2 linked regions of the Oryzias latipes genome follow. The protein of the gene in region 2 interacts with the protein of the main gene of each other region in a pairwise test. Links are inferred from orthologs where the notes say so. Each region holds a gene or a part of one and is shown on either strand. Other genes may lie near its edges.

Region 1 (3,754 bases), on a different chromosome or scaffold from region 2:
GCATCAACAGACAGTCATAGCCAGGCAAAACAGGGTCAGAAATGGTAGTTTACTCTGCACCTGAGGATTCAATTCAAGGACAATTTGTTGGTGTAGCTTCAATAAACCACATTTTTCATATGAAGAAGAAAAAAAAAGCTTTACAAGAATTGCAATATTTAATTAAAAATGGTCAAAATTAGCACATACAGAGAAACCTGCAAGATATTGGATTTAGCTATAACTCCATTTCAGTATAGGCAGGGAAAAGAACACTACATTTCATGGTCTTTGAAACATGCAGAAACTTGAAACTTTGTCAAGTTTGTTGGTAAAACCTGAAACAAACCTGGCAGGTGATTTTCGTTTGTATCTATTGCTTCATTAGTGCAACTGACAAACACAGATGCTGGTATTTCTTATCAGCAAATCAAGGTCAGAAAGTTTACCATCCAGTTATTTGGATGAGATGAAAACATGTAAAAACAAGTTGGACTGACAGACTGTTATTGTTGCGTGACATTTGATCAGATCTGTAACAAGATTCTGTTGTTCTGAGTGGATTTTTGGGATGCATTCAACAAACTCATCGAGAGTAAAAACACATTTTTTAAATTTGCCAAGCCTGCAGGAATAGTCTTCTATTATTCATTGTTCTCCAAACTGCGATCCACTTGATAAAATGTGTGAGGTAGAATTGTAAAACTGCTATGAAACTGTTTGTGTTGTGATACTTGTTTCAGCAAAAACGAAAAATAAAAAACATTAAAAAAATCCAATAAAATAGTAAATACAGTAAAAAAAATATTTTGTACAGATTCAACGTTGCTTTAAAGAATTATCTAGAAAGGATGGAAAATCCAATCAATGTTCTCCCCCTTGTTTTATTCAAGTCTTTCCAAAAGGATACACATCTGCAACCGTTTCTTGTTTTTATGAACGTTTTGATAAATCAGACCATTTAAAGTTGTGTATGATGTGTTTTACTATGCCAAACAATAATAGACTGTATATTAAAAAGAAAATAAGAACTTCTAACAAAACCATCTACTGTTCATCAGAATTAAATGTTGTTTTTTTTGCCAGCAGATGGCGCAGTGAGCTAAATACAAATTACAAATCCGTAGAAGAAGAGTTCACCGATAGCTTTCAGTTTTCCTAGTCGGCTACATTTTGATGCTTCATTTCTGGACCTTGCGTGTGCTTTTAGGTAAATATTTAGCCTTTTTGTCTTTAATTAACTAGTTGGCATTGTTATAAAATACTAGATTGAACCTCGGGTAATCACAGTTGTGGAATTTCGAATAGTTTGGTAAAAGAAAGCTAGCGGTGTTAGCATATTTTAGGCTCCTTGTTGTTTTCACTATGAAACTTTTACTGTTGCGATTGTCGGACAATATTCTATTTATATTTGTTATCCATCATTTGTTCTTCCGTCCTTATTATTTCACATCATTTTCTGGATTTAGGTTTTCAGAATGTTTTATTATCGCGTAATTACATGTTAACAAGAGGCGCGTCGTGGAATGAACTTTTATTAAACCATGATCATCATGTCCTCCTATTAAGGGTATTTCATCAGTAATGGATCAGAAACTTTCTTATGATGACTACCAGCTTCCAGTCGTGTTTCTTCCTGCTTATGAGAACCCACCTGCATGGATCCCCCCTCATGAGGTGGGTCACATTCAGCAGAACCAAGTACCGCTCATTTAAAATGGGCGGCACTTGACTATATTGTTTGTTCTATGATCATGTTCATTCCTAAAATATACTTAATCTTGGAGTTGACTTTGAATTAGTGGTCAATGATGAAAAAGAGCACCGTGCAAATATAAGAGTGGTTGATTCCTTAAAGAACACGATTGTTTAAATCTTAACATATTAATTATGTGTCAGATCTCTGCTCAAAACACCAAATCCTGGACCTTTGATAATTAGACATTAAATCATTCCAACTGTAAAAACAGAATGTTAAGTGCTGAAAATAAAATTAAAAAAATAAATTAATACAGTATCAGAAATAAGTATTTGATCCTTTGATGATTTTGTAGGTTTGCCCACTTAAAGAGAAATGGACAGGAAGAAAAGGACATTTTATGAACACTTCTTTACATCCTATTTATGAAATTGGATTTATAAATAGAAAGCAGAAATATAAATAGAAACTCCTAATAAAGATTTATCACAATCATTAAGTTATAAAAGTAAAAGAAAAGAGACAAAACGCTTATTTTTCATGTATTTCTTTGGCAAAACTTGTTTAAACTTGATCAAAGCTCACATTTGAAATGGTTCAATAATCCAGCGAGTTCATCACCCTGATTACAACAACGAGCTGACCCAGTTTCTGCCTCGAACCATCGTGTTGAAGAAGCCTCCAGGAGCACAGTTGGGGTTCAACATCCGAGGGGGCAAAGCGTCACAGTTAGGCATCTTTATATCAAAGGTTTGATTCCATTCATTTTGTCATAATGGGGAGTCTTTTTTTTTCAAGTACCTACATCGGCGTGTGCTGCCTTTGTCATGTACCAACAGGTGGTTCCGGATTCAGATGCCCACAGAGCCGGTCTACAGGAGGGAGACCAGGTTCTTTCTGTAAATGATGTAGATTTCCAAGACATAGAGCACTCAAAGGTGAGTCTGTTTAGTCGCATTAACTTTATTTTTCTATCACCAATAGCACAGAGGTAATTTCAGGACACCCTCCAAACAAGTAGAACATGTTCAGTACAGTGCATTTTGAAGCAATTCAATTGTTTTCTAATCCTACATAACCCCAAGCAACGGACGGCAACAGGTCCCGCAGTCACACTTTCATCTTTAAAACAATAAAGGCAGTAGATTAACCTGTATTGACACTAATAAACGCAAGAACCATCTATACAAGACATACAGCAGGGCGCGCCTCAACAGCAGCAAAGTTCAGGGTGAAACACAAAGAGATTTCTGGCTCTTTTTCAGTGCCATACAGCATTCTAAATCCTGATCAGAGCAGATTATTTCTGGTGGTCAAAAAGTGATCTATAACAGTTTGCTAAGGACTTGTCAAATAAAAGGAGATTGGATAGAAGTTCACAAATGTACGAAAGTCCTCCATCCATGATCTGTTCCCGTTTAGTCTATAGCAAAGAATGTGTAACTTAAGGAAAATTAGGGTGTAAAGAACAGTAAATGTGCAGTAAGGTGCTAAATTGGTGGCAGTTTAGCTCAGGCGGGAGAGCAGGTTGTCTAAAAACCGAGCGCGGCTATTCCGCAGCTCACCGTTCCCCCCAGGGGAAGGGTCAAATGCGGAAAACAATTTCCCCATCGTGGGACAAATAAAAGTAAATTAAAAATAAAAGAAGGGTACTGTAGAAATAAAAGCCAAGTGAACCAGGTGGACACAACAAACTATCCTGCAGCCGACTGAAGAGGCAGGCGCTGCAGTTAAACTATGGAAAAAGGGAATGAGAAGTCTAACACAAAATGTATCTCCATACAATCAAACAAAGTCCCCAAACAAAGTTACAGCCAAATCTCACAACAAAGTGTTACAGCGTATCAGACTGAGCCAGATGCAGCACAGAACAGGCAAGACTGAGGGAAGGTTTAGCAACTTTAACAACAAAAATCTCCATTCCAGGTGGGAAAAAAACGTAAATACCGTCATGACGAAACAACACTGACCACAGTGCGGAGAAATCCTAGCCAAAACGGAGAGACACAGCTGAGTGGGTGGAACTTTCCAGTTGAAACCACAGCTGACCTGCACCAAAAACAAAAAGGGGGAGGG
Region 2 (3,654 bases):
AATCATCATTTGTGCTGATCAGAAAAGCATTTAGTCTGTTATTTTTAGCACTGGTCATTTGTGTCGTGTTCTTTCCGCCCACTGCCTGACAAAAGCCACAGACGGCGGCGGAGCCAAAGGCTTTATGCAGATAGATACGCTGAGGAAATCGTATCCATCAGCACAAAGTGGGCAGAGAGGTCACGAACCGTGCTCCCTCTTCTAAACTCAGCTGCCATCCCCTGCAGCGATCAGATTATTATAAAGCACCCAGGATCTCCCACAATGCTTTTAGCTTTTGGAAGCTGAATTTGTGGCTTTTCATCAGGAAACACGCAGGATGAGCAATTAAATCTTGAACCTGCAACTACAGCAAATACTGTACAGCTTTAGTAGTTTCCATGTGGTGTTGCAGGTCAGAACTGCAGTTTGCTTGTATCAAAACGGAGAGGGTGAGCTAATCTCTTTTTAGAACACTAATCCCCTGTGTATAGTGCTCAATTATCGGCATGGGCCCCGTTAACTTTTAGAGGGTTGGAAGATTTCAGCAGGATAGGACACACAATCACTTCTCATCTTTTCCACTGGTTGGATTCAGATGTTGGACCCTCCTTATGAATGCATATGCTAACAAATGGATGTTTCTCTCTGCAGATGAAAAAGAGGAGGGGATTCTTGGCAGCATCCTTCTACCGAGCTTTCATATATCCAAATGCGCGGAGGATGACCACATTAATAGAAAATATGCGTTCAAGGTCAGTGTGTGTTTTTTCTTTCTCTTAACCTCGTAAGTCTTCTTACTGTGTTATTGAGAAACTATAAAAACAAGAAAAGAAAAGGATTTTCTGTCCAAACAGTTTAGGTCGGTGTATAGTTTATGTACATTTTTACTTTTTTCTTTTTCTTTTTGATCACAAAGGTAAAAGTTTATCATCAGCGTTCAGCACACACACCTAAACAAATATGGTGGTACTTGTAGAACTAATAATGCAGTCTTAAAAATCCTGAAAATACATCAATGAAAGTTAGGTGTTGGTTTGGAGCTAAAACATGCCATCTGGAGAAAGTCCCCTGTAACAGTGGGAGCCGTTAGGTTATGAAGAGTGGGCCAAAATACCTGCTGAAAAGGGAAAAAAGTATTTTCCTTTAATAGTCATGCAACAAAAAGTTATCAAAATGTACCATCATGTGTTGGCTGCTTTATTATGATTCTTTTAAACAGCAATTTAAAAGCAATGCCTGGTTTTTATTGATATTTCTTTTATTTAGTCTGTTTCAAGTAAAATTAATGACCAATGTGGGTTTTTTTTCCTTAACAGAGGGGTTTGAAACATTTCAATCGTGTCTTTTTTTAAATGCACATTGAATCACACCAACAGTAAAAGGTAAAACAAGCTTTTTAACTTCCTGTTCAAAATATTTAAATGGAAGAAAAAAAAGTGCCTGTGGGACTGGACCACTGGCAGCAGTTAAGGAACTCTGCAACAATCTTAAAAAACCCAAATCCCCTGAAAGTGGCATATTTTCTGAGTTGGTTGTGTTGTGTATGGAGTTGCTGCATTCTACATGAACCCAAAGAAACAACAATGTTGTGCTGCCAAATACAGCCAAACCCAGACACCCAGGAGTCTGTTAAAGGTCTGTGTAACCACAAAGCTTGCTCTTTTTCCAGCTTAGATCCTGGCTGAAAGAGAGAGTTTAGTGAAACAGGAGAGCAGGGCAAAACCTCTTCAGTTCCACTTTCTAATGGGAGGATTTTTTTCTTTTCTTGTTTTAATAATGCCCTGTCTGTGTTATTCAAAGTAGAATAAGGAAAATTGAAGTTGGCAAAGCTTTTCTGGACTTTGATAAGCAGAATTTTCAGCTGAGATCGTCAATGATTTCTCTTTTTTTGGGTTCTACTTTGACAATTTGTGGATTTGTTCTCAACGAGGGAATAGAGCCACAACGGAGCAATGAGTTTCCCTCGCGGCAAACAGCACAGTAAGTCCTACAGTACTTCAGCCAACAGATTTAGTTCCTTGATCTGATGAAATGTGGTGACTTAAGGATTTGATTTAACTGTTTAGTGCAGTTGACCAGTGTAAGAAATCAAAATTAAATGCATAAAAACTCAAAATAGTCAAATAAGAGATGTATTGAAACAATCCATTCCACCTTTCCTTGAATTGTCTAATTTCTTTCCTGTCTTTCAGGTGAATTTTCTCTTTGCATCTTTCTTGCTGCCCTTCATCCCATCAGGCCACACATCCGAACATGCGGACGTACTATTTTTGCACTGACACGGCCAAAGAGACGGAGTCCTGGATGAGAGTAATGACGGATGCTGCGCTGGTGCATTCAGGGCCAGTCAAAAGGTTAGTGAGATCTTTACAAGTTTGGGCATTTTCCGTGAAGCTTGCTTCGATTTTGAATAGCGAAAAAGACATTTGAAAGCTGATGATGCTGCATGTCTGGCTCAATCAGTTTACAGAGATGTTTTTTTCATCTGGAAATGAGGTTTTTTTTAATCCTTTCTGTGAGTTTGTTAAAAGCATCCACTTTTGACATTTCTGTTCTCTGGATTTGTTTAAGAAGCTGCAGCTTTCTCTCATGTTATGCAACGACTCGTATGTTACAGAGCATCAAACACAAGCATGCCATGCGCATGTGGCATGTCTCTGAAGGTTTAGGGGAATGCGGCTCTGACTGATCAGAGTGAAGCATCCCCACAAGCTTTTAATTCATTTCTATTAGCATCATCACACAGAGACATGAAGTTATAGAGCAAGGGTTTATGGGATTCATTTAACCTCAGATGACTTGTGTTGGTTTTTTTTCTTGATGACAGATTTGTATCAAAAAAGCTTTAAATCTCCTGTCCTTATTTTTTCTGTCTCCAGTACAGCCACTCAAGAACAAATGGGACTAAATGCACAAAGGCTTTCCACAGGGATGGGTGTGTGCTCCTCGGGGTGAGTGGATTCACAGAAAGCTGGAGAAAACATTAGATGACGAGGGCTGCTATTCAAAAATACACAAGTGGAAACTGCAAGGGATGGCTTTGGCTGCTTTCATTCTGCTGTCTCAGCTAGCATTGCTGCTGAGGAGAATGTCCTGAACTTTGGAGTTTTGATCTCAGGCCCGTCCCAGGGCACGGAGTAGAGGTGCCGATTACCTCCCATTACTTCCCCAGAGACCAGAGAAGCAGACGGGCTCTCAGGAGAGGACGTGTTTGGGAAGCACACATGGATTTTGGGCTCTGAGCGCAAGAATGGCTTCAGCACAGGCAGTTTTATTGGACATATCGGATTTTCTTTTACACGCCTGCCTTTCCCCACCAGCTGGAAAAGATATTATACACTTCACTCATTTACTGTGCACCTTTAGTTTAGCTTTAGTATTCTTGTTTAAAATCCAATGGATTTCAGTGGCTGCACAGATATTCTTGGGCTCTTCGGTTCTTTCGAAGACCCTCTTCGATCATCTTTTGATCTATTCCAAGTGTTCCCAGTGGTCTTTTAATTATGACTGTGCTGGTTTTATCCAAAATAAAAATAAAAAAAACTGTCATTTTTGTAGTACATAGTTTCTGCAGAACGCCAGTAGTTTGTTAGAAATTCGTCTCTAAGTTTTGGGCGGGACCTTTGGTGAGGAGTAAGTCCGGCCCTGCTCCTCCTCATCCCTCTGTGTTTA

The links.
Region 1: the proteins of plekha5 (region 2) and pdzd11 interact in binary tests that used the Homo sapiens proteins (3 or more experiments, as listed by UniProt). The two-hybrid records come from large-scale screens. The link is inferred for Oryzias latipes from reciprocal best matches to the Homo sapiens genes PLEKHA5 and PDZD11.

Annotation. Positions count from the first base shown.
Region 1 is NC_019868.2:11,259,755-11,263,508, reverse strand, and holds the start of pdzd11 (PDZ domain-containing protein 11), read left to right. Parts: upstream 1-1,058; 5' UTR 1,059-1,189; intron 1,190-1,548; 5' UTR 1,549-1,563; coding exon 1,564-1,656; intron 1,657-2,287; coding exon 2,288-2,428; intron 2,429-2,517; coding exon 2,518-2,616; intron 2,617-3,754. UniProt on the Homo sapiens protein: Mediates docking of ADAM10 to zonula adherens by interacting with PLEKHA7 which is required for PLEKHA7 to interact with the ADAM10-binding protein TSPAN33.
Region 2 is NC_019864.2:14,294,808-14,298,461, reverse strand, and holds part of plekha5 (pleckstrin homology domain-containing family A member 5), read left to right. Parts: intron 1-633; coding exon 634-734; intron 735-741; exon of another isoform or gene 742-1,962; intron 1,963-2,174; exon of another isoform or gene 2,175-2,220; coding exon 2,221-2,336; intron 2,337-2,861; coding exon 2,862-2,933; intron 2,934-3,654.